Anolis sagrei: one gene and its partners. The protein of the gene in region 2 interacts with the protein of the main gene of each other region in a biochemical or structural test. Links are inferred from orthologs where the notes say so. Each region holds a gene or a part of one and is shown on either strand. Other genes may lie near its edges. The genes, in order: UBE2B, RNF40, WAC and UBE2A.

Region 1 (7,794 bases), on a different chromosome or scaffold from region 2:
GATCTTTGTCACCTGACTTTCCTTAGACACCCCCAAGTGTTGCATCCTCTTTGTTGCTCCAGTCCTTTGATGATTACACTATTTTGCACTTTTTAAAGCTTTTTCCACCATGGATTTTACATGGTGATATCCAGAAGTGTGCTTACTACCGGCTTCAGCTGATATGCCTGTGGCATCCTTTCCTAGAATCAGAGGACCTAAAGATGGTAGTAGTGCACATGCTGGTAACCTCAAGGTTGGATTTCTGCAATGCACTGTACACTGGGCTACCTTTGTACCAAATTCGGAAACTCCAGCTAGTTTAAAATTTGGCATCCAAATTGGTTACGGAAACATCCAGGAGTGAAGATCTCACACCTATCCTAAAGTCACTCCACTGGCTGCCAATTAGTTACTTGGCAAAACACAAGGTATTGGTTTTGACCTTTAAAGCCCTACATGGTTTGGGTCTAGGTTACCTATAGGATTGTCTTCTCCCATACAATCCGCCCCGAACACTTTTGAGGGGCATCTGCTCCAACCAGCCAGAATCCGACTGGTGATCGTCGCCCAGAAGATCTTTTCATCAGTTATCCTAAGACTGTGGAATGACCAGTGGAAGAGATCAGACAGCTAAATGAGCTTTCGGAATTTAAGAGACAATTAAAGACCTATCTCTTCCTGCAGGTCTACCCAGTCAGCTTTGAACCATGAGTTTTGGATTCACGTTCTATTACCACTGTATTTTGTACCATGTGTTTTGGTGTATGTATTCTATGTTGAGGTGTTTTCACTGTGTTGGATCCCACCTTGAGAGGAGAGGCGGGTAACAAAAATTCTTCCTCCACCACAACCTCCTCCTCTGCCTCCTCTCCTTCTCCTACAATAGCCCTCAGAGTTGGTTCCAGGACACACACACATTGATACCAAAATCCATGGATGTGCAAGTTCCATTATACACAATGTTATAGTAGAAAAGCATTCCTTATATAAATGGTAAAACCAAGATTTTGTCTTTTGGAATTAATTTTTAATATTTTCTAGCCATGGATAGTTGAATCCATGGATATGGAGAGCCAAATGTACAGTATTATACTGACAATTTTATTTCCAGTTTCCCTTTTAATTATGGCCAATGTGGACTTTAGCTTTTTTATAGCAGCCACAGTCTGATTTTGTTGAACTTTGTACCATAAGGGAAGATCCTTTTCTGAGTCAGTTGCTGACAGCTCATGATCCCATCAGTATATATCACTCAAACCATAGTATTTTCAGTTTCTATGTATGATTCAGAAAGTTAGATAGCAAAGGAAGATAATATGGTGAATTCATTTTAAATACAGTCCTGGAGAAAAGGTCTAGGGAAATCGTTTAAAAAAGCCCTAGAACAAATCAAACCTAAACTTTCACTGACAACTAAAATTACCAAGCTGTGGTTGTTTTATTTTGGATGCATCATGAGACAATATGACTCACTGGAAAAGATAAGGAGCTATGGTGGCACAATAGGTTAAACCCTTGCGCTAGCTGAATTGCTGACCTGAAGGTTAACGGTTCAAATCTGTGAGATGGAGTGAGCTCTCATCTGTCAGCTCCAGTTTCCCATGCGGGGACATATGAGAAGCCTCCCACAGATGGCCAATTCTCTCACACCAGAAGCGATTTTCAGTCACTTCTGACACACAAAAATTTGGAAAACATTATAGTAGAATCATCGAATTGGAAGAGATTACATGGGCCATCTAATACAACCTCCATAATACAGAAAAAGCACAATCAGAGCACCCCAACAGATAGCCATCCAGCCTCTATTTAAAAGCTTCCACCACACTCCAAGACTGGGAGTTCAACTGTTGGTCAGGAAGTTCTTCCTAATGTTCAGGTGGAATCTCCTTTCCTGTAATTTGAACTCATTGCTCCGAGTCCTAGTCTCCAGGGCAGAAGAAAATAAGCCTGTTCTCTCTTCCTTATGACATCCTTTCACATATTTATACATGGCGATCATGTCTTTTTTCAACTTTCTCCTCTGCAGGCTAAACATGCCCAGCTCTTTAAGTTGCTCCTTATAGGGCATGGTCTCCACATTTTTGATAATTTTAGTCACCCTCTTCTGGACATGTTCCAGATTGTCAATATCCCTCTTGAATTGTGGTGCCCAGAATTGGGCACAGTATCCCAGCTGAATCTGACCAGAGCAGAATAGAGAGGCACCATTTCTTTCCTTGATATAGACCAGTGGTTCTTAACTTGTGGGCTGTGGACCACCAGTGGGCCGCAAGGTCAAAAATCTGGTTTGCATGCCTTCTTCCTCTTCATTTATTTATTATTTATTTTATTTCTGCTCCTTTCACATTCCTTCCCTGTCTTTGACCATGGCATATGTTCTATATCAGAAATTAGAGCTGATATGGTCTATCCAATGCAATTTTCTGATCTTTAATATTAGTCTTGGCTTGTTTGCAAATATATATTTAAAGTAAAGTGTTCCCAATTTAAACATGTGGTCTATTACATAAACACCATCAGTTTTGGAATTGTATTTTATTATGATGATGTATACAGTTAATTGTTCTGGCACTAAAAAAATCTATTGAAATATAATTGACTGATGTACTTGTACTTCTTTTTGTATGTAAATTATCATTAGATCTAGTTTTGAACAAAAGGCAGATAAGAATAAAACGATTGCACCTTTAAATTGATTCGAAGACCTTGCTTATAACATCAAGTTACTTGCAACAGGATGCAGATTCATGCTGAACTTTCTGAGGCCTGGCCAAAGACATTTTGCTGTCTGAATCAGAGTACCAAAATAATAATAATAATAATAATAATAATAATAATAATAACAATAATAGTACTTCTGTGGTTGTTTTGCTTCCAACTACAGGCCCATGCCCTGGTTGCTCAGCAGGTCCTGGTTTCTGTAGCCCACTTGTCAACGGGTGCCCAGGAGAAGCACTCGCCGCGGCCCTTATTATCCTGGGCAGCGACCAAGCCAGTCTAAATTTCTTTAGAGTTTGTTTTACCATATTTAAATGGGTTGGATGCACTTAGTTCTACTTCTCAGTTGAGCCCACTCTGGCTTGGTTGAACCTACTGGTAGTTTACACTATGACCAGCACAGAAAATGAACACGTCAAGCTACTTTGGGACTTCCGAACTCAGACTGACAGAGTTTTGGAGCACAATATGCCTGACCTCACGATCGTGTTAAAAAACAAAGTATGGATTCTAGAGCTTGCAATCCCAGGTGACAGCAGGATTGAAGAGAAACAACTAAAAAAGCTGATACAATACGAGGATTTAAAGATCAAACTGCAAAGACTCTGGCACAAACCAGTAAAGATGGTCCCAGTGGTGATTGGCTCACTGGGTACAGTGCCTAAAGACCTTGGTCTCCACTTAAACACAATAGGCACTGACAAAATCACAATCTTTCAGCTGCAAAAGGCCACCGTACTAGGATCTGCATGCATTATTTGCCGATACATCACACAGTCCTAGACACTTTGGGAAGTGTCCATGTGATCGATTACAACAGCCAGCAGAGTGATCTTGCTTGCTGTGGACTCATCTTGTTGTGTTTCTAATAATAATAATAATAATAATAATAATAATAATCGATCAGCATACTGAGTGCAGTGCTTAAAGACCATGGCCTCGACTTAAAAGCAATAGGCACTGACAAAATCACCATCAGTCAGCTGCAGAAGACCACCCTACTTGGATCTGCATGCATTATTTGCAGACACATCACACAGTCCTAGACACTTGGGAAGTGTCTGACGTGTGATCCAATACAGTAGCCAGCAGAGTGACCTTGTTTGGTGTGTACTATAGAATCATAGACTCAAAGAGTTGGAAGAGACCTCATGGGCCGTCCAGTCCAACCCCCTGCCAAGAAGCAGGAATATTGCATTCAAATCACCCCTGACTGAGAAGGCTGAGAGGAGATATGATAGCCATGTATATATATGTGAGAGGAAGCCACAGGGAGGAGGGAGAAAGCTTGTTTTCCGCTTCCCTGGAGACTAGGATGCGAAACAATGGCTTCAAACTACAAGAGAGGAAATTCCATCTGAACATGAGGAAGAACTTCCTGACTGTGAGAGCCGTTCAGCAGTGGAACCCTCTGCCCCGGAGTGTGGTGGAGGCTCCTTCTTTGGAAGCTTTTAAACAGAGGCTGGATGGCCATCTGTCAGGGGTGATTTGAATGCAATATTCCTGTTTCTTGGTAGGGGGTTGGACTGGATGGCCCTGAGGTCTCTTCCAACGCTTTGATTCTATGACAGATGGCCATCCAGCCTCTGTTTAAAAGCTTCCAAAGAAGGAGCCGCCGCCACACTCCGGGGCAGAGAGTTCTACTGCTGAACGGCTCTCACGGTCAGGAAGTTCTTCCTCGTGTTCAGATGGAATCTCCTCTCTTGTAGTTTGAAGCCATTGTTTTTGTGTTTATAATAATAATAATAATAATAATAATAATAATAATAATAATTTGCTGATGTACTGCAAATCATTCAACACACCTGCCATGAAATCCATCTAGATTTTGCCCATCCCATTCAGATGATGGTAAGACAAGACATTTTTTTAATTGTTTAAGGATTGTGTGAAACTCTGCCTTAAAGGGTAATAAAGATTTCAAAGGCCAACCAAAGCAACTCTTTCCACCAGCAGGGCGGAGGAGTTGTTGTTGTTGTTACATTGGAATGGAATGAGGGGGTTGGACCGGATGGCCCTTGTGGTCTCTTCCAACTCTATGGGAAAAGACATGATGTCGCTGCCTCTCCTTCCCTGAACGCATGGGAATGTCGAAGCGAAGTTCCTGGGAGGAGAGGGAAAGCGCCTTCCGCCGCCCTGCCCTCCGCTTCCGCAGTGGTACGTTCCTAAGGCTCCCTGCCCTCCCCCCTCCAAGTAGGCGCAGTGGTACGGTCCCGAAGGGAGGCTGCCTTCCTCCCTCCCTCCCTCCCTCCCGCTGGCGGAGGGAGACGCCATTGCGGAGTTGTTTGTGAAGCAGCGGAGCAGGAGGAGGCGGCGGCAGCGGACGAGGAGTGAGCCGCCCTTGGTGCCGAGGCTGTTTGAGGCCGAGCGGGGATTATTTTACCACCGGGAAAAGGGGAGACCATGTCCACTCCGGCCAGGCGGAGGCTCATGCGGGACTTCAAGAGGCAAGTGCGGCCCTGCTCTCCCCCTGCCCACCTTCCTTCGTCCCCTCTGCTTTGGGCCTGTTCTGGGGCTGGCCCTCCTTTCCTTAAAGGGCCCGCGCCTCCCTGGGGGTCCTGGCTCCCCTGCTCCCCCCTCTTTCCTTTCGTGTCTAGGAAGAAGGGGGCCGTCTGGATTTTGCCCCCAAGCTGGTGAGAGGGCAAAAAGATTGAGAAGTTCCCCTCTTTCCTTCCTTTTCCTCTCCTGTTATGGAAGTAGGCATCAGGATACATTTGGAAGAAGGAGAAGGGTTCAGCTAGAGCAGGCATGGGCCAACTTGGGCCTTCCTCCAGGTGTTTTGGACTTCAACTCCTACAATTCCTAACAGCCGCTAGGCTGTTAGGAATTGTGGGAGTTGAAGTCCAAAACACCTGGAGGAAGGCCCAAGTTTGCCCATGCCTGAGCTAGAGACAGAAGGTGTAAAGGATGCCCCCACCCCCACCCCCCAAAAAAATAAAGAAAGAGAAGGAATTGTCTGTACTTTTGGGGCAATGGCTCAAACCATTGGCTTCTCCCTCTGGGCCTTGGGCAAGGAATGCCTTTAGAACAGGTGTGGGCAAACTTGGGCCTTCCTCCATTTGTTTTGGACTTCAACTCCCACAATTCCTAACAGTCTACCAACTGTTAGGAATTGTGGGAGTTGAAGTCTAAAACCCCTGGAGGAAGGCCCAAGTTTGCCCACACCTGCTTTAGATCAAAACTGAGTGGAAATGGAGTGGGTTGGCCTTGGCAGAAATACTGATCTGGTGGAAGGAGCTGGTTTGTTTATACCATGTTGGGGCATCCTGCCTCAGTCGAGGCCAAACCTTTAATAAATACCCTTTGCCGTCTTGGGAGACTGGAAGCAACACTTGCCCTCTTCGCCATCCCATGCTGAAGTTGTTACATTAAAGGTACAGTCCCCTTCATGGAAATAATTGCATCTATAATAAAGGAAGGGGTTTTAATCTGCTCAGAATACAGACTGTACAGTTTACCAGAGTTTCGCTTGCGATGCTCTCAGTCAACAGATCTCTGAGCATTTTGCCAATGCAGTGCTTCAAAAATAAAAGGAGCTATTGTAAGAGACTCAGGTTACCCACTGAGCCAACCCCGGAGCTGTAAATAAAACTTCTTCCAGTCCAGTCACTGCTGCTGCCGCCTCCTCTTCTTCTCATCCTGAATCTTTTAATCCCCACATATGTGCTCCAGAGTAGAGTTTCAGTGTATTTCAGTCTTGCTGCATTATATCCCTTTAAGCTTATACAGAATTAGTATAATAGTTACATTTTGGAAATTGAAACTCTTCAGAAAGTGGTTTGGAAGATGGCAGAGAAAAGAATAGGGAGTTTTGCTGTATAGCCAGCTTGTAGTGTTGGGGGAAAACTGGTTATGCTGAAACTGCCATTTCATGGCATGTAGAAAAATGTGCTCTTCACAAGGAAGCCTGTTGATTTTCCCTGTTGTATGTGGAGAGTTGTGTCCTATGTTTCTTTTAGGCTGCTTCCTATAGTTGGAAGTCCTGTCCTTCTCTGCTTCTTAGTTCTCACTGACATCTGGAGAGGATATGCTGAAGTTAGCAAAAATAATGGCCATTTTCTGTTTCTCAAGTAAGCTGCCAGGAAAAGCAAGCTCTCCAAAAGGACTTTCCTGGCACTGCAGATGGATTCCGCAGCGAAACATGTTACAGTTCCTCCAAAATCACAATTTATAACCTGGACACGTAAAAAGATTTAGATCGCCACATTAATGGTGTAACTGTCTCCTTGTAATTTAAACTGACTAGTCAGCAAGTTCGGCTGCAGGATGCCAGTCTTTGTTTTAGGCTGGAATTGGCAAGACTGCCTTTATGAATGGGCAAATATTTCAGATTGGGATCATGCAGTGGCTGCTGAGTCAGCATAGGGCAGCGGATGCTTGCCTCACTCCCAGTACATTAAATGGGGTTATGCCAACACAACAGTATGAGTTGTGTTGTTAACAGAGCACAGTGACAGTATGCAGCATTATTCTAATCCCAAACATGGTTTTTTCTTGAGAACACTGAGGGTCCTTCCACACAGCCCTATATCCCAGAATATCAAGGTAGAATATCCCACATTTTCTGAGTGTGGACTTAGATAATTCAGTTCAAAGCAGATAATGTAGGAATTTCTGCCTTGATATTCTGGGATATAGGGCTGTATGGAAGGGCCCTGGGGCTTATTTCGGGTATTGGTTATTCTATCACATTTATTATCCATGCTGAATTAATATTACCTAACTGCTTTTAATAGCTATTTGAGTATATCTAGAAAGCTCAGGAGTTACAGTTATAACCTTTGGCCTTGAACTCCCAAAAATCCTAACAGATGGTAAACTGGCTGGGATTTCTGGGAGTTGTAGATAAAACACCTGGGGACCCACAGGTTCAGAACCACTGTTCTAAACTATTTTCTAGATAGCTGGATTTGGCAGAGTGACCAAAAAAAGAGGGAGAAAGTTCTCAAGTCAAAGCTCTGGGATAATTGAAACATGCCCTATGACTCTTTTAAGTACTATTATTTGTTCCAAACATCTTGAATTAACAGGAGAAAGAACATTTTGGTCAAGTTATTTCATCTAGGCTGGTATGGTAGGATAAGGTCCCTA
Region 2 (8,155 bases):
TTCGCCCCCGCGCGCGCCATCTCTACCTCCAAAACGGAGGGTTGGGGAGCGTATGGAAACACAAGGAGCGAAGAGAAGGAGCAAGAAACAAGGAGCGGGTGAGGTAACAATGGGAAGGGGGTGAGTTCAGGAAAATCTCAAGTTTCTTGTCTCCGGAGTTCTTGAGTTAAAAGTTCAGTAGTGTTTATGTTATGTTCTTTACGGTTTAAAGTTATCTTAGTTGTTGTCAACCACGGCCCCAAATTTGGCACCTGGCCTTCTTGTTTCCCCCTCTGTTTCCCTTCTGTCTCTCTGTCTTGCTCACCTTTTCGTTCTTCGTTCTTTCAGTTGTGTTGTTTTGAAGATGGTGGCTGGCGTCCTAGCCCGGATTCTACCCGGGAACCTGTGTTGGACCTCACCCCTTTGCCAAGTTTGGGGGTCTCCTTTGGAGCTTCTTGGTCTAAGGGTCCTACTGCCCCATTATTTCCACGAGGCAGGGGGGGACTAGCCCCCCTGAGGCATTCAACAAGTTGCAAGAGCTGACGAGCGTCAGGAACTTGCTTCTCCCGCCATCTTGCCACCACCGGAAGTCGTCAGGGTATCTTTTGTTGATACAAGTGATTTAAATGTTTTTAATCTATATGTTTAAATGGTTGTTTTTTTCATCTGTGTATTTTAACTGTGTTGCATGTTGCCTTAAGTACAGAAATAAAGCAAATTATTATTATTATTATTATTATTATTATTATTATTATTATTATTATTATTATGGGTTGCTGTGAGTTTTCCAGGCTGCATAACCATGTTCAGGAAACATTGTCTTCTGAGTTGTAGGTTTTTTGGGGCTGTATGGCCATGTTCTAGAGCAGTGGTTCTCAACCTGGGGTCCCCAGATGTTTTTGGCCTTCAACTCCCAGAAATGCTAACAGCTGGGAAACTGACTGGGATTTCTGGGAGTTGTAGGCCAAAAACATGGGGACCCCTGGTTGAGAACCACTGTTCTAGAGGCGTTTTCTCCTGACGTTTTGCCGGCATCTATGGCAGGCATCCTCAGAGGTTGTGAGACCTCACAACCTCTGAGGATGCTTGCCATAGATGCAGGCAAAACGTCAGGAGAGAATGCCTCTAGAACATGGCCATATAGCCCAAAAAAACCCTACAACAACCCAGTGATTCCAGCCATGAAAGCCTTCAAGAATACATTGTCTTCTGACTTTTCACCCACATCTATGGCAAGCATCCTCAGAGGCTGAGGAGTCTTTTGGAAACTAGGCAAGTGAGGTTTATATATCTGGGGAACGTCCAGGGTGGGAGAAAGAACTCTTGTCTGTTGGAGGCAGTTGTAATTGGCCACTCGGATTAGCACCGAAGGGCCTTGCAGCTTCAAAGACTGGCTGCTTCCTGCTTAGAGCAGTGGTTCTCAACCTGGGGTCCCCAGATGTTTTTGGCCTACAACTCCCAGAAATCCTAGCTAGTTTACCAGCTGCTAGGATTTCTGGGAGTTGTAGGCCAAAAACATCTAGGGACCCCAGGTTGAGAACCACTGGCTTAGAGGAATTGTTAGGAGGTGTTAGTTGGTCCTAATTTATTCCTGTCTGGAATTCCCCCATTTTTTGAAAGTTGCTCTTTTTACTGTCAGGAGAATTCCAGACATGAAACAACCAAGGCCAGCTAACACTTTCTAGCAACACTTCCCCCAGGCAGGAAGCAGCCAGAGACTTTGAACCTGCAAAACCATTCAGTACTAATCAAGGTGGCCAATTGCAAGCACAAGAGTTCTTTCTTTCTTCTACCCTGGACCTTATTCCACAGATATATAAACCCCACCTGCCTAATTTCCAATGACCTCACAACCTGCCATGTTGTTGTTCATTCGTTCAGTCGTCTCCGACTCTTCGTGACCTCATGGACCAGTCCACGCCAGAGCTCCCTGTCGGCCGTCACCACCCCCAGCTCCTTCAAGGTCAGTTCAGTCACTTCAAGGATGCCATCCATCCATCTTGTCCTTGGTCGGCCCCTCTTCCTTTTCCCTTCCACTTTCCCCAGCATCATTGTCTTCTCTAGGCTTTGCTGTCTCCTCATGATGTGGCCAAAGTACTTCAACTTTGTCTCTAGTATCCTTCCCTCCAATTTCCTGGAGGATGGACTGGCTGCATCTTCTCGCAGTCCAAGGCACTCTCAGCACTTTCCTCCAACACCACAGCTCAAAAGCATCTCTCTTCCTTCGCTCAGCCTTCCCTAAGGTCCAGCTCTCACATCCGTAGGTTACTACAGGGAATACCATGGCTTTGACTAGGCGGATCTTTGTTGCCAGTCTGATGTCTCTACTCTTTACGATTTTATCGAGACTGGACATTGCTCTCCTCCCAAGAAGTAAGCGTCTTTCCTGGCCACAGTCTGCATCTACAGTAATCTTTGCACCTAGAAATACAAAGTCTGTCACGGCCTCCACGTTTTCTCCCTCTATTAGATCATAGATGTGGGCAAAACTTCAGGAGAGAGTGCTTCTGGAAGATGCCCATACAGCCCGGAAAATTCACAATAAACCAGTGATTCCAGCCATGGAAGCCTTTGACAACACAACAATAATAATTATAACAATGATAATTGTTGTTATTGTTGTTATAGTAATATATTTTATGGGTGGGCCCCTCAGTCTATTTGAACCTGTGAATTTAAACTGACATTTTGTTGGCACAAATGATTTCAATGTGTTTTAAGTATTATTATTGATAGTAATATAAATAAGATGTATTTTGAGTGAGAATAAGAAGAATGATCCTATTAGCATGGCTCTCAGGTACTTTTTAAAGAGACAGTGCCACAAAAATGGGTGTTTAGAGAAGAAGAGATAGAGAAGGCCCGATAGGGAAGGGGAGGAAGGAGACCTGCAGGCTCACCCCGCCATCGCCGCCGCCTCTCTGCCTTCCCCTCCATACGACGCTTCGGACTAGAAGCCCCGCCGCAGCCACTGCGCATGCGCCCGAGGAGGCATCTTTCGGCCAGACTCAAGCGAATCTCCCCTTCCTGTTCTGGGTGGCGCATGCGCGAGCAGACTCTTCGACTCGGAATGCGACGTGCTTTCCTATTGGTCGAAAGGACACCTGGAAGGGCGGGTTGTGTGCATACGTAAGTGGGAGGGTGGAATGAAAGCTGACACACGATTGGTTCAACTGGGAAAGAGATTACCTGTGATTGGACGGATGCTCCTAGAAGAAGAGGCGTGGCTCCAAGGTAAAACTCCTCCCATAGAGACAGGGAAAAAGGAAGTCAAATGTAAACATTTCCTCAGAAGGATGCCAACTTGGCTCTGGAGTGGTAACAATGATCCTATCCTGGCTCTGGAGGCATAACAATGGTTTAGAAGAGGGAGTTATCTTTCTTTGCCGCTTATAGAGAGCACTACCTTTCCAGTATCCTTCATAGGAAAGGCTCCTTCCACTTTGAAAGAGGACGGCACTGATTGGCTCGCTCCTGACCTGGCTCAACATTCTTTCTTCTAATTGGACGGAGCCCAGAATGCCATGGCAACGGAGGACTCCTTCAGTCCTCCACCTCAAAGGCCTTTAATGGGGCCAGAATCCCTTAATAAGGTACCAGAGGAGGGGGAGCAATACTAAAATGAATGGTGTGATGTCTCGGCCTAGTATTATTTCCTTGTTGCCTGTTGGACTGTTCCATTTTGCCAAGTTTAGAGTAGGAGTTTAGGCTCCCCCTATAGGCCGAGCTCTTTGGCTCAGCCCATTCTGCCTCAGAGCCTGGTGAAAGACTTTTTGGCTTCTTTCCTTTTGGTCATAATTTATAGATAGTTGCCAGAAAAGTGTCTGGTCTGGCTTGCAGTCCGTACAGGCCATCCTTATCACATATTTGCCTTAGAGTTTATAATAGATGTTATAAAGAATAGATAATATATGTATTGTCGAAGGCTTTCATGGCTGGAATCACTAGGTTCTTGTGGGTTTTTTCGGGCTATAGAGCCATGTTCTAGAGGCATTTCTCCTGACGTTTCGCCTGCATCTATGGCAAGCATCCTCAGAGGTAGTGAGGTCTGTTGGAATTAGGACAATGGGTTTATATATCTGTGGAATGGCTGGGGTGGGGCAAAGAGCTCTTCTCTGGTGGAGCTAGGTGTGAATGTTTCAGCTGATCACCTTCATTAGTATTTGAAGGCCTGCCTGAGCCTGGGAAAATCTGCCTGAGGCCTTCAAATGCTAATGAAGGTGATCAGCTGAAACATTATGTTGTAATAATAATAATAATAATAAACCGCGTTGAGTCGCCGGCTAGGCTGAGAAACGGCGGTATACAAATATAGCAAATAAATAAATAAATAAATAAATAAATAAATAAAATTCACACCTAGCTCCAGCAGACAAGAGTTCTTTGCCCCACCCCAGCCATTCCACAGATATATAAACCCATTGTCCTAATTCCAACAGACCTCACTACCTCTGAGGATGCTTGCCATAGATGCAGGCGAAACGTCAGGAGAAATGCCTCTAGAACATGGCTCTATAGCCCGAAAAAACCCACAAGAACCTAGATAATATATGCTTCATAGAATTCTTAGCTAATACATGCCTTAGAGTTTATAGTTTATAGAATACTTACCTCATAGAAATTATACTTTGTTACCTCAGAGTTATACCATCATAATCAATCTGTACCTTTGTACATTGTTGTAATTCATCTTGTTTGTTTAGTAAACTCAATTTGGTTAATTTAGTCTTGTATGTAGAGTGTTATTTTTGGGGGAATTAAAGTAATTTAGGGCATACAGATGGTCACTGGGAAAATAGCCAGACACATTTAGTTTTCTCATTAGATCTTCCTGGTGTGCCATCATAAATGGAAAAAAGAGAAATAAATGAATGGTTGAAAGAAGGGACTGAGGTGTTATCTCTACGCACATTTCTGGCAGCCAATATTCGGCTCCGCAACCGTTGTTGTGTGGAGTCCCACAGGGTTCAATTCTGTCCCCGATGTTATTTAACATCTACATGAAGCCGCTGGGAGAGATCATTCGGAGTTTCGGGCTAAGATGTTATCTCTATGCAGATGATGTCCAAATCTGTCACTCCTTCCCACCTGTCACCAAGGAGGCTGTCCAGACCTTGAACTGGTGTTTAGCTGCTGTATTGGACTGGATGAGAGCTAACAAATTGAAATTGAATCCAGACAAGACAGAGGTCCTACTGGTCAGTCGCAAGGCCGAACAGGGTATAGGGTTACAGCCTGTGTTAGATGGGGTTACACTCCCCCTGAAGATGCAGGTTCGCAGTTTGGGAGTGATCCTGGACTCATCGCTGAGCCTGGAACCCCAGGTCTCAGCGGTGGCCGGGAGAGCTTTCGCACAATTAAAACTTGTGCGCCAGCTGCGCCCGTACCTTGGGAAGTGATCTGGCCACGGTGGTCCACGCTCTTGTCACATCCCGGTTGGATTACTGCAACGCATTCTACGTGGGGTTGCCTTTGAAGACTGCTCGGAAACTTCAACTAGTCCAGCGGGAAGCAGCCAGATTGCTCACCGGAGCAGCGTACAGGGAGCATTCCACCCCCCTGTTGCGCCAACTCCACTGGCTGCCGATCCAATTCCGAGCACAATTCAAAGTGCTGGTTTTGACCTACAAAACCCTATACGGTTCCGGCCCAGTGTATTTGTCCGAACGGATCTCCCTCTACATCCCACCTCAAAGCTTAAGATCTTCTGGGGAGGCCCTGCTCTCGACCCCGCCACTCTCACAGGTGAGGTTGGCGGGGACGAGGAGCAGGGCCTTCTCGGTGGTGGCCCCCCACCTGTGGAACTCACTCCCCGGGGAGATTAGATCGGCGACCTCCCTTCTGGCATTCCGGAAAAAACTGAAGACCTGGGTTTGGGATCAAGCCTTTGGACACACTGGCAACTAAATGAAGGATCTAACGATAGACAAGGACAAATGGAACGGAATGGACATATGGACTCTGAACCCGAGCATGAGATTGTTTTTAATATTTATTGTGCACTGATGTTTTAATTTAACTGTTGAATTGTTTTGTATTTTATATTGTTTGTCTATAGATTTAGGCATCTAATTGTGCCTCCTATGTAAGCCGCCCTGAGTCCCCCCCGGGGTGAGAAGGGCGGGGTATAAGTAAATGAAATAAATAAATAAATAAATAAATATTGAGTCTGCGAAGAATCGTCCAGCCGAGCTTTTCCGAGTTGTCAGGGGACTGTTAAATCCGCTGAAAAGCGAGGCCCCTGATAACTCGGTGGCTCGCTGTGAAGCAATTGCTCGATTCTTCGCGGATAAAATTGTGCGGATTCGGTCGGGTTTTGACGACGTATTAACGGCACTCTCTGGGGAGCCCCCGGTGGCGCAGTGAGTTGTTGATCGAACTGAGCTTGTTGATCGAAAGGTCGCAGGTTCGATTCCGGGGAGTGGCGTGAGCTTCCGCTGTCAGCCCTAGCTTCTGCCAACCTAGCAGTTCGAAAACATGCAAATGTGAGTAGATTAATAGGTACCGCTCTGGTGGGAAGGTAACAGCGTTCCATGCAGTCATACTGGCCACATGACCTTGGAGGTGTCTATGGACAACGCTGGCTCTTCGGCTTAGAAATGGAGATGAGCACCACACCCCAGAGTCAGACATGACTGGACTTAATGTCAGGGGACTACCTTTACCTGGGGATGTAACGCGAGCATCTGCTTGTCCAGTTTTGTTGGATTCTTTTCAATTGGTTCAGCTTGAGGATGTGGACAGGATCCTCGGAGAGGTGCGACCTACCACATGCATCCTAGACCCCTGCCCATCCTGGCTGATAAAGGAAGCCAGAGGGGGTTTGGCACAGTGGGTAAAAGTGGTGGTTAACGCCTCCTAACAGGAAGGAAAGTTTCCAGCGAACTTAAAACAAGCTATTACAAAACTGCTGTTGAAGAAACCATCACTGGATCCCACTCAATTCGACAACTATTGGCCAGTTTCCAATCTCCCCTATTTGGGCAAAGTCATGGAATGTGTGGTAGCGACACAACTCCAGGGGTTTCTGGTTAGACACGGATTATCTAGATCCGGCACAGTCTGGCTTTAGGCCGGGACATGGAACTGAGACAGCCTTGGTCGCCTTGGTAGATTATCTTTGCTGGGAAATGGACAGGGGGAGTGTGTCCCTGTTGGTTTTGCTGGACCTCTCAGCGGCCTTCGATACCGTTGATCACGGTATCCTTCTGGGACGCCTCATGGATATGGGGTTCAGGGGCACTGCTTTGCAGTAGCTCCGATCCTTCCTTGAGGGACTGTCCCAGTAGGTGTTACTGGGTGACACCTGTTCGGCCCCACAACCGTTGTTGTATGGAGTCCCACAGGGTTCAATCTTGTCCCCGATGTTATTTAACATCTACATGAAGCCGCTGGGGGAGATCATTCGGAGTTTCGGAATGAGATGTTATCTCTACGCAGATGATGTCCAAATCTGTCACTCCTTCTCATCTGTTACCAAGGAGGCTGTCCAGACCTTGAATCGGTGTTTAGCTGCTGTGTCAGAGTGGATGAGAGCTAACAAATTGAAATTGAATCCAGACAAGACAGAGGTCCTACTGGTCAGTCGTAAGGCCGAACAGGGCATAGGGTTAGAGCCTGTGTTATACGGGGTTACACTCCCCCTGAAGATGCAGGTTCGCAGCTTGGGAGTGATCCTGGATTCATCGCTGAGCCTGGAACCCCAGGTCTCGGCGGTGTCCGGGAGGGCTTTTGCATAACTAAGACTTGTGCGCCAGCTGCGACCGTACCTTGCAAAGGTTGATCTGGCCGGGGTGGTCCATGCTTTGGTCACCTCTAGATTGGATTACTGTAATGCTCTCTACGTGGGGCTGTCCTTGAAAACAGCTCGGAAATTCCAGCTGGTCCAGCGAGCGGCGGCCAGGATGTTAACTGGCGCTCCTTACAGAGAGAGGTCAACCCTCCTGTTTAAGGAGCTCCATTGGCTGCCGTTTACCTACAGAACCCAATTCAAGGTGCAGGTGCTTACCTACAAAGCCCTAAACGGTTTGGGACCTGCCTACCTGCGTGACCACATCTCCATTTATGAACCCACGCGTTCCCTCCGTTCATCCGGAGAGGCCCTGCTCACGATCCCACCTGCGTCGCAGGCGCGTTTGGTGGGGACGAGGGACAAGGCCTTCTCTGTGGTTGCCCC
Region 3 (7,413 bases), about 95 Mb from region 2:
ACAGGTATTTCAGTATCTGAATTCTAATATGCTTCTGGTCCCAAGCATTTCAGATTGCAAGTACACTACAGAATTAATGCAGTTTAACTGCCATGGCTAAATGCTATGGAACCCTGGGTTCTGGAATTTGGCGAGGCACAAGAACTCTTTATTGTGCTGGTGACAGAACAAACTACAACTCCCAGAAGTCTGCAGCATTGAACCAGGGCAGTTAAAGTGGCGTCAAACCACATTCATTCTATAGTACAGGTACACTGCTTGATGAGGGATGCTCAAGCTGTATTTTTTAAATGGGTACCACAATGTATTCCTAATTTAAAACCGCCTCACTGACAGGACTCCATCTACACTGCCTTATAAGGTGATTTGAGACAGCATCATATGGCCAGTGTAGACCATAAAACGGGGATGCTTTGAATGAGATTTTCCTGCTACTTGGGAGGGTTGGACTGGATGGCCCACAAGGTCTCTTCCAACTCTATAGTTCTATGATTGTAGACCAGGCATGGACAAACTTCAGCCCTCTAGGTGATTTGGACTTCAACTCCCACACTTCCTAACAGCCTACCGGCTGTCAGGAATAATGGAAGTTACTGGCTGTCAGAAATTATGGAAGTTGAAGCCCAAAACACCTGGAGGGCTGAAGTTTACCCATGCCTGATATAGACTTATATAAATTATCACATTACACTGTTGAAGCACTGTTGTTCCACTTTAAATCCTATGACAGCCCCCTGTGGAATTCTGGCCTTTGTACGTAATGAGGCCCAGGACACATCCAGTTTGGAATTTTGAAGACCCCTCCCTAAAGTGCACATCCCAGGAATCCAGAGGCGGCAGGCATGGGATTTAAAGTGGAATAACAGCACTCTTAACAGTGTAGTGCAGGCATGTGCAAACTTTGGCCTGGCAGGTGTTTTGGACTTCAACTCCCATAATTTCTAAGAGGGCCAAAGTTTGCACATGCCTGTTGTAGTGAGCTCAGCTGCACTGAATGAATGTACCCTGACCATATGATACAGTCTGAAACTGCATGAGAAGCTGCAGTGTAGTTGGGGGCCAGGAAAGGGCGGTGGCAAGGGACAACAACAGTTCTCTTGGATAGAACTTACCCTTTATTAAATTTGAGGAGAGGGTTAGAAATAAATAAGGGGGGGGGCAGTTTTAATTTCTAGCCCAGGCATAGGCAATCTTTGGCCCTCCAGGTGTTTTGGACTTCTACTCCCATCATTCCTAACAGCCACAGGCCCTCCTTTCCCCCCTCAGCCACTTAAGTGGCCGAGGGAGGAAAGGAAGGGGCCCGAAGTTATAAGGAGCTATGAGAGTGTAAATCCAAAAGACATGGAGGGCCCAAGTGTGCCCATGTCTGATGTAGGCACACCGTTGAATATATACCGTTGGACACTACTTGAACTGCCATGGCTGTTAGGAGTGGTGGGATCTGCAGTCCAAAACACCTGGAGGGCCAAAGTTTGCCCATTTCATTGAATTTATGCTGTTGGACACCACTTGAACTGTCATGGCTGTTAGGAATGGTGGGATCCGCAGTCCAAAAGACCCGGAAGGCCGAAGTTTGCCCATGTCATTGAATTTATGCAGTCGGACACCACTTTAACTGCCATGGCTGCTAGGAATGGTGGGATCTGCAGTCCAAAACACCAGGAGGGCTGAAATTTGCCCGTGTCACTGAATTTATGCAGTCGGCCACCACTTGAACTGCCATGGCTGTTAGGAGTGGTGGGATCTGCAGTCCAAAACACCAGGAGGGCCGAAGTTTGCCTGTGTCATTGAATTTATGCAGTCGGACACCACTTGAACTGCCATGGCTGTTAGGAATGGTGGGAGCTGCAGTACAAAACACCAGGAGGGCCAAAGTTTGCCTGTGTCATTGAATTTATGCAGTTGGACACCAATGGCTGTTAGAAATGGTGGGAGCTGCAGTTCAAAACACCTGGAGGGCCAAAGTTTGCCCATGTCACTGAATTTATGCAGTCGGCCACCACTTTAACTGCCATGGCTGTTAGGAAGGGTGCGATCTGCAGCCCAAAACACCAAGAGGGCTGAAGTTTGCCCATGATATTGAATTTATGCACCACTTGGAACTGCCATGGCTGTTAGGAATGCCTGTTCTAAGCTATTGCCTCACACTGCTGTGTTAATTTAAAGGGGGGGGGGGAACGCCCCCTCCTCCCCAAAAAGAAAAAAAGACCTATCTACGGGTCATTCCAGACGGACCCTCTATCTCAGGATCTGATCCCAGGTGGTCTGCTTGAAACTGGGTTATAGGAGCCCACAGTGCAAGATAGTCCGGGATAAACAGAAACGACCTGGGCTCAGATCCGGGGCGCTAGGCCTCTCTCGCTCCCCCCCTTCCCGTTGGAGGCCGCCCCTTCCTCCCTCCCTCCCCTTGTTCGCGCGGCCCAGGAAGCAGGCCGAGGCCCTTTGCGGCCTAGAGCGGCGGGCCAAGCCTGCGCTGGAGTAGCTGCGGCCGGCCCTCCTCCCACACTCCGCTGCGGCGGCGGCGAAGGAGGTACCTGGTAGGGCTGCGAGTCCCCCTTGCGGTCGTGACAGCTGAAGGGAGAGAAAAAAGAGAAACAGTGGCGTTAGCGAGAGAGTGGCCGTTACTGGCGGTTGGGAGAGAGGGAGGGGAGGAAGGGGGAGGGAAGGGGGGGGCGAGGAAGATGGAGGACGGGGGCTTATTTACCCATCATTGAGTCTTTGCTGTTTCCTCGCATACATTACCATCAATGCCCGGCCTGTGAGAGAGAGACTGAGGGGACCAGGAGGAGGAGGAGGAGGAGGGCGCGGCTGGGCCACGGACGGGGAAGGAAGGAAGGAGGAAGGGGAGGGAGGAGGAGGAGGAGGAGGAGAGAGGCCCAGCGGCGCTCACGGGCCCATCGCCTCGCCGCCCAACGGAACGCAACGCGGAAACGCAACGCAGAAGGAAGGAAGGCGAAGGCGGCGACGACGACGACGACGTCTCCCCCCTCCCGCCGCCGCCACCACCGTCTCCTCCCCCCTCCTCCTTCCTTCCTCCTCCTCCTCCTCCCTCTCCCTCAGTCACTGCTCCCAACACTACCGCCGTCCAACTACATCCGGGAAACTCAAGCGACGACGCCTTCGCCAAACGTCGGCTCCGCTCGGCTCTTTCCGCCCAAGCTCCTCCCTCTCCTCCGCCTGCCTTCCTCTTTTCGCGGCTTCGCACTTCGGGTATCCTCGGCCGCTTCCGGACACCAGCCGATCCCTCCCCCTTCGGGTTTGAAGAAGACACGCCTTCTACTCATCTTCGGTATTTTCCGGACCAAGCCCTGCTTTTCGGGCGACGTCGGCTCTCTCCGCTCCTGCCTTCTTCGCCGGGGAAAGGCATCGGGTGTTTCCGGAAAGAGCCGAGAGACGGGCGAAGACTACTACTACTACTACTACTACCAATAATAATAATAATAAACTTTATTTATACCCCGTTACCATCTCCCCATGGGACTCGGTGCAGCTTACATGAGGCCGAGCCCACAATACAACAATACAAGCAAAACAAGCAATAACAAATACAATACAAAGCAATTAAATGGTGATTATGATAATAAAAACAATCGGCGCTGACAAAATTACCCTCTGTCTTGTTTACTGTGTACTAATCTTGTTGTGTATCTAATAATAATAATATTAATAATAATAATAATAATAGCATATAATAATAATAATAATAATAATAAGTGGTCCCAGTGGTGATCAGCACACTGGGTGCAGTGCCTAAAGACCTTGGCCTGCACTTAATAATAATAATAATTATTATTATTTATTTATTTATTTATTTATTTATTTGTATCCCGCTTTTCTCCTGTGGGTAGGATTCAAATCGGTGTGTTGTTGTTGTTCATTCGTTCAGTCGTCTCCGACTCTTTGTGACCTCATGGACCAGCCCACGCCAGAGCTCCCTGTCGGCCGTCACCACCCCCAGCTCCTTCAAGGTCAGTCCAGTCACTTCAAGGATGCCATCCATCCATCTTGCCCTTGGTCGGCCCCTCTTCCTTTTGCCTTCCACTTTCTCCAGCATCATTGTCTTCTCTAGGTTTTGCTGTCTCCTCATGATGTGGCCAAAGTACTTCAACTTTGTCTCTAGTGTCCTTCCCTCCAGTGAGCAGTCGGGCTTTATTTCCTGGAGGATGGACTGGTTGGATCTTCTCGCAGTCCAAGGCACTCTCAGCACTTTCCTCCAGCACCACAGCTCAGAAGCATCTATCTTCCTTCGCTCAGCCTTCCCTAAGGTCCAGCTCTCATATCCGTAGGTTACTACAGGGAATACCATGGCTTTGACTAGGCGGATCTTTGTTGTCAGTCTGATGTCTCTACTCTTCACTATTTTATCGAGACTGGACATTGCTCTCCTCCCAAGAAGTAAGCGTCTTCTGATTTCCTGGCCACAGTCTGCATCTGCAGTAATCTTTGCGCCTAGAAATACAAAGTCTGTCACGGCCTCCACATTTTCTCCCTCTATTTCCCACTTGTCAATCATTCTTGTTGCCATAATCTTGGTTTTTTTTTTTTTTTGATGTTTTGATGTCAAATCGGTGTACAAGGGTTAAAAATGACAAAACTGCATATCATAAAAATACCAAAAAAAATCATATAAGCAAAACAAACACATTAGGTTAGCCAAATTAAACAAATTAATAAATTAAAACATTAAACCATTAAAAAAATCCCTGACCCTCAGACAATTAAGGTTATCAATTAAAAGAGTTATTCTATACATAAATAAATAAATAGTATCAATGTTAGGAACTGTGGGGGTTGAATTCCAAAACACCCAGAGGGTCCAAGATTGCCCATGTCTAATAGATATGATCACAAAATAATAATAATAATAATAATAATAATAATAATAATCTTTATATCATGCTCCCTCTCCAAAAGGACTCGGGACGGCTTACAACAAAATTAAATCATAACATATACATGAGCAAAAGCAAAAAGACAGGACATCACATATAACCAGCAATCACAAGCAGGTTAAATTAACATAACAGTATCACAATAAATACACAGCTTAAAAATTTGCACTTGGTTTAAAAACATAATCGCATCTTGGAGGCAAAACCAGTTAAAACCAATAGGTATTTGACAGAACTAAAAGACCACCATAATATTAAGTAGTCATCATCCGTTTTCGAAAGCTTGCTTCCACATCCAGGTTTTTAGTTCTTTTCTAAACGGAGCTAGAGGGGGAGCCTGTCTGATTTCTTTAGGGAGAGCATTCCAAATATATGATAGTAATAAATGGTTATAATACAGTAATTATTTCTTTATCGTGTCCAAAGCAAATTGAGGATACAGTTATAATGCATAAAAAACCACAGTTATAGAAGGCTTTCATGGCCGGAATCTCTGGGTTGCTGTGAGTTTTCCGGGCTGTATGGCCATGTTCCAGAAGCATTCTCTCCTGACATTTTGCCCACATCTATGGCAGGCATCCTCAGACCTCACAACCTCTGAGGATGCCTGCCATAGATGTGAGTGAAATGTCAGGACATAATGCTTCTGGAACATGGCCATACAGCCCAGAAAACTATTACATTTGGCCTTGCCATAGGTTTTTAAATGCTTGCGTGTTACTGTTTATTGTTTATTTTTTATTTATGCGATTTATATTAATTGTATTGTATTGATTTTTTGTTATTGCTTTTGTTTATTGATGTACTGTGGGCTTGGCCTCATGTATGCCGCACCAAGTCCCTTGGGGAGATGGTAGTGGGGTATAAATAAAGTTTTATTATTATTATCATTATTATTATTATTATTATTATTATTATTCTGGAACATGGCCATACAGCCTGGAAAACTCACAGCAACCCAGAGATTCCGGCCATGAAAGCCTTTGATAACTCCGTGGTTTTAATACATTATAAAAAATACATTGAATTTGCTTTGACCACATCAGTTGCTTCTGATGTAACTGTAAAAAAAGTCCTCCATTTTGCTTGTGGCAGAGCTCATACTGCACTGTGTCAGTTATCTGAGGTTTGCTCTTTTCCACACTCGCATGTTGTGGTCTCCACTTTGTAGTCCTTTCATTGCAATACAATAATAACAGTCAGTAGTAATATATTATGATGATGACGACGACGATATATAATTATAATTATATAATTGTATTAAAATAACAAATGGTTATTGAGCCACCTCTGGCTGAGAAAGGCGGTATACAAATGCAGTAAATAAATAATATAATATAATAAATATCATAGCAATAATATGATAATATATGATATTTTACAAAAATGAAAAAACCCTTTCCTGCATGGTTAGTACCTTGTGCTTGGGCCACAATTCTAGGCATCCATGCAAATACACATTATTATTATTATTATTATTATTATTATTTATGGAGCCTCTGATGGTGCAGTGGGTTAAAACCTTGTGCCGGCAGGACTGAAACCGACAGGTTGCAGGTTCGAATCGGAGGAGAGCGTGGATGAGCTCCCTCTATCAGCTCCAGCTCCACATGCAGGGATATGAGAGAAGCCTCCCACAAGGATGATAAACCATAAAAACATCTGGGTGTCCCCTGGGCAACGTCCTTGCAGACAGCCAATTCTTGCAGTTTCTCAAGTCGCTCCTGACACTACAAAAAATTAAATAAATAATTAGGTTCTTGTAGGTTTTTTCGGGCTATATGGCCATGTTCTAGTGGCATTTCTCCTGACGTTTCGCCTGCATCTATGGCAAGCATCCTCAGAGGTGAGGTCACCTCTGAGGATGCTTGCCATAGATGCAGGCGAAACGTCAGGAGAAATGCCTCTAGAACATGGCCATATAGCCCGAAAAAACCTACAAAACCTAGTGATTCCAGCCATGAAAGCCTTCGACAAATAACTAATTATTTATTTTATTTTTGCAATTATTATTATTCATATTTGCAGAAATGCAACCACCAAACAAGGAAAGTGGTGTCAAAAGTGCATTGTTGAGGTTCCATTGCACTATCTGCCAATGGAGGCTAAATACCTTGCAAAACTACAGCTCCCGAATTCCATAGCACTGAATCATTAAAGTTGAAGTGGTGCATGTCAAACTGCAATTAATTCTACAGTGCAGATCAGGCATGGGCAAACTTGGGTCCTCCAGGTGTTCTGGACAACAACTCCCACGATTATGGGAGTTGCAGTCCAAAATACCTGGAGAGCCGAAGTTTGCCTATGCCTGGCATAACTGCTCCCCTGGTCCCAGGCGTTGCATTGCATTGGGCTTCAGAAGGGTTTAAGGAGGGAGAGAGGGCAATGGCCGCTGAGGCTTCAGAGCTCTTACTGCGCAGGCGCGGGCGGCGTCCTATCCTGCACTTTCTACCTCTGAGCCTTGCGCAGGCGCAGAAACCCGTCCCTGGATTCCGGCTTCTAAGCCAAGGATGGCAACAGC
Region 4 (7,726 bases), on a different chromosome or scaffold from region 2:
AAGGCGGAAGAATGGTATCCTTGAAGGGACTGGACTCACCTTGAAGGAGCTGGGGATGGTGACAGCCAACAGGGAGCTCTGGCGTGGGCTGGTCCATGAGGTCATGAAGAGTCGGAGACGACTGAACGAATGAACAACAACAACATCTATCTATCTATCTATCTATCTATCTATCTATCTATCTATCTATCTATCTATCTATCCATCCATCCATCCATCCATCTATCTATCTATCTCTTCTATATATAATATATATATAAATGCTCTGTGCATAATGAGTACCTTAAAAACAAAAGAACCAATGAACGAAATCACACTAAATTTGGCAACGAAACGTCTCACAATGGAAGGAGTGACCATCACTCAAAAAATTATGATTTTTCCTTTGGGAGTTGTAGTTGCTGGGATTTATAGTTCACCTTCAATCAAACAGCATTCTGAACAATGGAATTGAACCAAACTTGGCAGACAGAACTCCCATGACCAACACTAGTAGGGTTTAGTGGGCATTGACCTTGAGTTTGGGAGTTGTAGTTCACTTACATCCAGAGAGCACTGTGGACTCCAACAATGATGGATCTGGACCAACTTGGCACAAATATTCCATATGTCCAAATATGAACACTGGTGGAGTTTGGGGGAAATAGACCTTGGCATTTGGGAGTTGTAGTTACTGGGATTTATAGTTCACCTACAATCAGAGACCATTCTGAATAAACCCCACGAATGACAGAACTGGGGCAAACTTCCCACACAGAACCACCATAACCAACAGAAAATACTCAAGGCCACCCAGTCCAACTCCCTTCACCAGGGCAAGAAAACATCAGCAAAGCCCTCCTGACAGAGAGCTACTGAGCCATAGATAGAGATGGATATATATGATTCACACACACACAGATAAAGTATTATAGATTTGAAAGGGACTCCTAAAGAAGGACAATTCTATGTTGCATGTTCCAGAGTAAGCAAACCAGACAATCTCTACGTCAACACTGTCAAACATCAAGAAATACTATTTACCCACAAGCATAAAGACATTTCATAGATTAGAAACCAGCACTTTCTAATTACTTGATTTTCCATATCACCAGACTGGGACACAGCAACGCGTGGCAAGGGATCTCTAATTATTATTATACTAGCTGTCCCCTGCCATGCATTGCTGTGGCCCAGTCTGTTGATCTGGAAAATAAAGTAATGAGAAAGTGTTGGTTTCTAATATATGTAATGTCTTTCTGCTTGTGGGTAAACAGTATTTCTTGTTGTTTCTTTGTCAGTGTTGATGTGGAGATTGTCTGGTTTGCCTACTCTGGAACATGCAACATATCATAGTCCTTCTTTAGGGGTCCCTTTCAAATCTATGATACTATATCTGTGTGTGTGTGTGTGAGAATCATATCTATCTATCTATGGTTGGATGGCTCTTTGTCAGGAGGGCTCTGATTACGTTTTCTTGCCCTGGTGAAGGGAGTTGGACTGGATGGCCTTAAGTATTTTGCGTTGGTCATGGGGGTTCTGTGTGGGAAGTTTGCCCCATTTCTGTCGTTTGTGGGTTTCAGAATGGTCTTTAATTGTTGTGAACTATAAATCCCAGTAACTACAAATCCCAAACGTCAAGGTCTATTTCCTCCAAACTCCATCTGTGTTCATATCTGGGCATATGGAATATTTGTGTCAGGTTTGGTCCAGATCCATCATTGTTTGAGTCCACAGTGCTCTCTGGATGTAGGTGAACTACAACTCCCAAACTCAAGGTCAATGCCCACCAAACCCTTCCAATGTGTTCTGTTGGTCATGGAAGTCCTGTATGCCATGTTTGGTTCAATTCCATCATTGGTGGAGTTCAGAATGCTCTTTGATTGTAGGTAAACTATAAATCCCAGCACCACCAATTCCGAAATCTCAAAATCAATTTTTTTGAGTGCAGGACATACACTGGGTTGTTAGGTGTCTTGTGTCCAAATTTGGTGTCAATTCCCTCAGTGGTTTTTGAGTTCTGATGGTAGCACGAACGAACATTACATTTTTATTTATATAGATTATTATTTTAGAAGAGAAGCTACCCCTGACCTTTATTATTATTATTATTATTATTATTATTATTATTATTATATTTTGATTATATTTATTATTATTATTATTATTATTATTATTATTATTATTTGGTTCACTCCTGACACTATAAATAAATATTATTATTATTATTATTATTATTATCATCATCATCATCATCATAGAAAAAAAGATCCCGCTGAGCAACTATATTTATTATTATTTATTATTTATATTTATTTTAGAAGAGACGCTTCCTCTGCACTATTATATTTATTATTATTATATGTATTATTATTGTTTCAGAAGAGAAGTTTCCCCTGCACAATTATATTATATTTATATATTTAGGTTCTTGTAGGTTTTTTCGGGTTATAGGGCTATGTTCTAGAGGCATTTCTCCTGACGTTTCGCCTGCATCTATGGCAAGCATCCTCAGAGGTAGTGAGGTCTGTTGGAATTAGGACAATGGCTGGGGTGGGGCAAGGAGCTCTTCCCTGCTGGAGCTAGGTGTGAATGTTTCAACTGACCACCTTCATTAGCATTTGAAGGCCTGCCTGAGCCTGGGAAAATCTCTTGCTGGGAGGTGTTAAGATGTGCCTGGTTGTTTCCTCTCTGTTGTTTTGCTGTTGTGATTTTAGAGTTTTTTTAATACTGGTAGCCAGATTTTGTTCATTTTCATGGTCTCTTCCTTTCTGTTGAAATTGTCCACATGCTTCTTGTGGATTTCAATGGCTTCTCTGTGTAGTCTGACCTGGTGGTTGTGAGAGTGGTCCAGCATTTCTGTGTTCTCAAATAATAATCTGCTGTGTCCAGGTTGGTTCATCAGGTGCTCTGCTATGGCTGACTTCTCTGGTTGGAGTAGTCTGCAGTGCCTTTCATGTTCCTTGATTCGTGTTTGGACAACGCTGCATTTGGTGGTCCCTATGTAGACTTCTCCACAGCTGCATGGGATACGGTAGACTCCTGCAGAGGTGAGAGGATCCCTCTTGTCCTTTGCTGAACGGAGCATTGGTTGGATTTTCTTGGTGGGTCTGTAGATTGTTTGTATGTTGTGTTTCCTCATCAGCTTCCCTATGTGGTCAGTGGTTCCCTTGATGTCTGGCAAGAACACTTTTCCTCTGGGTGGGTCTTCGTCTTGACTCTCGTGGCTTCTTCTCGGTGGTCTTGCAGCTCTTCTGATGTCTGAGGTGGAGTCTCCATTGGCCTGGAGAGCCCAGTTGAGGGGGTTCAGTTCCTCTTGGAGGAGGTGGGGTTCACAGATTCTCTTTGCACGGTCTGCCAGAGCTTGAATGGTGCTTCTTTTTTGACTTGGGTGATGGTTGGAGTTTTTATGTAGATATCTATCTGTGTGTGTGGGTTTTCTGTAGACGGTGTGACCCAATTGTGGATCTGGTTTGCGGATGATGAGGACATCTAGAAAAGGCAGTCTTCCTTCATTTTCTTTTTCCATGGTGAACTGGATGTTTGGGTGGATGCTGTTGAGATGTTCCAGGAACCTGTTGAGTTCTTCTTCTCCATGGCTCCAAATGGTGAAGGTGTCATCCACATCTCTGAACCATATCGTGGGCTTTTTGGTTGCTATCTCCAGGGCTTGTTCTTCAAAGTGTTCCATAAATTTATATATTTATTATTATATATTTATTATAATTATTATTATTTTAAAAGAGAAGCTTCCCTGCACAATCATATTCTTCTTCTTCTTATTATTATTATTATTTCAGAAGAGAAGCTTCCCTGCACTATCATATTCATTATCATTATTATTTTAGAAGAGAAGCTACCCCTGCACTATATTATTATCACAATATTTTGATTATCATAGAAAAAGAGTTCCCCCCCCCGAGCAAATATATATATATATATATATATATAATATTTATTTTAGAAGAGAAGCTTCCTCTGCACTAATATATTTGCTATTATTATATGTATTATTATTATGTTTCCCCTGCACAATTATATTATATTTTTATATTTATATTTATTATTATTATTATTATTATTATTTTAGAATAGAGGCTTCCCTGCACTATCATATTAATTATCATTATTATTATTATTATTATTATTATTATTATTATTATTATTCTATTTATTATTATTAGCTCCCCCTGCAGTATTCTATGCCATGGCTATTATGGTTCCTTCCACCTATTTCCCCCCCTTTATTCACCGCTTGTTGGTATCGCTCAGAGAGGATGACGTCAGCGCTTTGAGAGCTCTCTTTCCAAGCCTGCGGAAGCCACGCCCCTTTGTGTCCTTCCCGCGATGTGATTCGCTGGCCGCTAGCCCCGCCTCTTCCCTGTGTATTATATTATTTTAGAAGAGAAGCCATCCCTGTACTATTATATTATATATTATATTTATTATATTTATTATAATAGTTATTATTGTTATTATTATTATAGAAGAGAAGCTTCCCCTGCGCCATTCTATGCCATGACTATTATGGTTCCTTCCCATTTCCCCCCCTTTATTCGCCCGCGCCTTGGTATCGCCCAGAGCGGATGACGTCACGGCTGCGAGCGCTGCCTTCCCAAGCCTGCGGAAGCCACGCCCCTTTGTGTCCTTTCCGAGATGTGATTCGCCGGCCCCTGGCCCCGCCCCTTGCCTGTTTATTGTCCCATTCCGTGCCCCCCTGTTTGGCGAGAGCAGTGGTGCGGTCCGGCGTGGAGGGAGCAGGCGCGGCGGGCGCGACCACTGCGGGATTAGGGGCGCCGGCCGCGTCGGGAGCGCCAGTGTCGAGGCGAGGAGCCGAGCGAGCGGAGTGCGAGCGACGCCTGGCCGAGAGCCCGCCATGTCCACGCCCGCCCGGAGGCGCCTCATGCGGGACTTCAAACGGTCAGCGCGGCCGGGCGGCGAGGGGATTGGGCCCGGGAAAGGGAGCGAGTCGGGCCGAGACGGAGAAGAAGGAGCCCTCAGGAGAGACAACATGGCGGCCGGGCGGGGGAGCGCTGCGCCAACTGCGTAGCCACCGCGCTCTTGGCGTAACGCGCGCCCGGCAACCAATGGGGAGCCCCGCACCACAGCGGCTTACGCACTTGGCGTAGCCTTTCCTTGCTAGGCCTTGCCACTCAGAGACTTCTTAGATGATTATCATTATCTCATTATTATTAGATTACTCAGCCTCTTATTGTTATATTATATTATTATTATCATCTTTATTTTATAATATTATCTTATAATTACTGTTATTATTGAGACTTATATAATATATCTCCTTGCTAGGCCTTGCCTTATATTATTATATCATTATTATTATATTACTCAGCGTCTTTTTATTGTTATATTATTATCAATCTATTATTATTATTAGGGTCTTATTTTATAATATTATCTTATTACTATATCATAATTATTATATTACTCAGCCTCTTATTATATTATATTATATTATTATTAATCTATTATTATTATTAGAGTCTTATTTTATAATATCATCTTATTATTATATCATTATATTACTCAGCCTCTTATTATGTTACATATTATCAATCTATTATTATTATTAGAGTCTTATTTTATAATATTATCTTATTACTATTATTATTGAGTCTTATATAATATGTCTCCTTGCTAGGCTTTGCCACTCAGAGACTTCTTATATTATTATTATTATTATTATTATTATATTATTAGAGTATTATTTAGAAGTCTCTTATAATATAAGAGACTTCTTACATTATTATATCATCATTATTATATTACTCAGTGTCTTCTTATTGTTATATTGTATTATTATTAATCTATCATTATTATGAGTCTTTATTTTATAATATTATCTTATCATTACTATTATTATTGAGTCTTATATAATATATCTCCTTGCTAGGCCTTGCCACTCAAGAGACTTCTTATATTATTATATCATTATTATTATTATATTACTCAGCGTCTTCTTATTGTTATATTTTATTATTAATCTATTATTATTATGAGTCTTTATTTTATGATATTATCTTATTATTATATCATTATTATATTACTCAGCCTCTTATTATTATATTATATTATTATCAATATATTATTATTAGAGTCTTATTTTATAATATCTTATTGCTATTATTATTGAGTCTTATATAAGGCCTTGCCACTCAGAGTCTTCTTATATTGTTATAATTATAATTGTTATTATATCATTATTATTATATTACTCAGCCTCTTCTTATTGTTATATTATATTATTATTAATCTATTATGAGTCTTTATTTTATAATATCTTCTTATTATTATATCATTATTATTACATTACTCAGCCTCTTATTATTATATTATATTATTATCAATATATTATTATTATTATTATTAGAGTCTTATTTTATAATGTTAACTTATTACTATTATTATTGAGTCTTATATAATATAACTCCTTGCTAGGCCTTGCCACTCAGAGACTTCTTATATTATTATTATTATTATTATTATTATTATTATATCATTATGATATTATTCAGCATTTTCTTATTGTTATATTATTAATAATCAGTTATTATTATGAGAGTCTTATTTTATAATACTATCTTATCATTTCTATTATTATTGAGTCTTATATATCTCCTTGCTAGGCCTTGCCACTCAGAGTCTTCTTATATTATTATTATTATATCATTATTATTATATTTCTCAACGTCTTATTGTTATATTATTATTAATCTGTTGTTATTATTATGAGAGTCTTATTTTATAATACTATCTTATCATTACTACTATTATTGAGTCTTATATAATATATCTCCTTGCTAGGCCTTGCCACTCAAGAGACTTCTTATATTATTATATCATTATTATTATTATATTACTCAGCGTCTTCTTATTGTTATATTTTATTATTAATCTATTATTATTATGAGTCTTTATTTTATGATATTATCTTATTATTATTATATCATTATTATATTACTCAGTCTCTTATTATTATATTATTATCAATATATTATTATTAGAGTCTTATTTTATAATATTATCTTATTGCTATTATTTTTGAGTCTTATATAAGGCCTTGCCACTCAGAGTCTTCTTATATTATTATAATTATAATTATATCATTATTATTATATTACTCAGCCTCTTCTTATTGTTATATTATATTATTATTAATCTATTATGAGTCTTTATTTTATAATATCTTCTTATTATTATATCATTATTATTACATTACTCAGCCTCTTATTATTATATTATATTATTATCAATATATTATTATTATTATTATTAGAGTCTTATTTTATAATGTTAACTTATTACTATTATTATTGAGTCTTATATAATATAACTCCTTGCTAGGCCTTGCCACTCAGAGACTTCTTATATTATTATTATTATTATTATTATTATTATATCATTATGATATTATTCAGCATTTTCTTATTGTTATATTATTAATAATCAGTTATTATTATGAGAGTCTTATTTTATAATACTATCTTATCATTTCTATTATTATTGAGTCTTATATATCTCCTTGCTAGGCCTTGCCACTCAGAGTCTTCTTATATTATTATTATTATATCATTATTATTATATTTCTCAACGTCTTATTGTTATATTATTATTAATCTGTTGTTATTATTATGAGAGTCTTATTTTATAATACTATCTTATCATTACTACTATTATTGAGTCTTATATAATATATCTCCTTGCTAGGCCTTGCCACTCAGAGTCTTCT

The links.
Region 1: the proteins of RNF40 (region 2) and UBE2B form a complex in vitro, tested with the Homo sapiens proteins (3 studies listed by BioGRID). The link is inferred for Anolis sagrei from reciprocal best matches to the Homo sapiens genes RNF40 and UBE2B.
Region 3: the proteins of RNF40 (region 2) and WAC form a complex in vitro, tested with the Homo sapiens proteins (2 studies listed by BioGRID). The link is inferred for Anolis sagrei from reciprocal best matches to the Homo sapiens genes RNF40 and WAC.
Region 4: the proteins of RNF40 (region 2) and UBE2A form a complex in vitro, tested with the Homo sapiens proteins (3 studies listed by BioGRID). The link is inferred for Anolis sagrei from reciprocal best matches to the Homo sapiens genes RNF40 and UBE2A.

What each region holds. Positions count from the first base shown.
Region 1 is NC_090022.1:91,998,851-92,006,644, reverse strand, and holds the start of UBE2B (ubiquitin-conjugating enzyme E2 B), read left to right. Parts: upstream 1-4,752; 5' UTR 4,753-5,106; coding exon 5,107-5,150; intron 5,151-7,794. UniProt on the Homo sapiens protein: E2 ubiquitin-conjugating enzyme that accepts ubiquitin from the ubiquitin-activating enzyme E1 and transfers it to a E3 ubiquitin-protein ligase. In vitro catalyzes 'Lys-11'-, as well as 'Lys-48'- and 'Lys-63'-linked polyubiquitination.
Region 2 is NC_090026.1:15,946,841-15,954,995, forward strand, and holds the start of RNF40 (E3 ubiquitin-protein ligase BRE1B), read right to left. Parts: upstream 3,029-8,155; 5' UTR 2,880-3,028; intron 1-2,879. Other genes in the region: CFAP119 (cilia- and flagella-associated protein 119), read left to right, coding at 3,504-3,572.
Region 3 is NC_090026.1:110,877,624-110,885,036, reverse strand, and holds the start of WAC (WW domain-containing adapter protein with coiled-coil), read right to left. Parts: upstream 3,059-7,413; 5' UTR 2,746-3,058; coding exon 2,705-2,745; intron 2,572-2,704; coding exon 2,535-2,571; intron 1-2,534.
Region 4 is NC_090030.1:3,051,252-3,058,977, forward strand, and holds the start of UBE2A (ubiquitin-conjugating enzyme E2 A), read left to right. Parts: upstream 1-4,664; 5' UTR 4,665-4,855; coding exon 4,856-4,899; intron 4,900-7,726. UniProt on the Homo sapiens protein: E2 ubiquitin-conjugating enzyme that accepts ubiquitin from the ubiquitin-activating enzyme E1 and transfers it to a E3 ubiquitin-protein ligase. In vitro catalyzes 'Lys-11', as well as 'Lys-48'-linked polyubiquitination.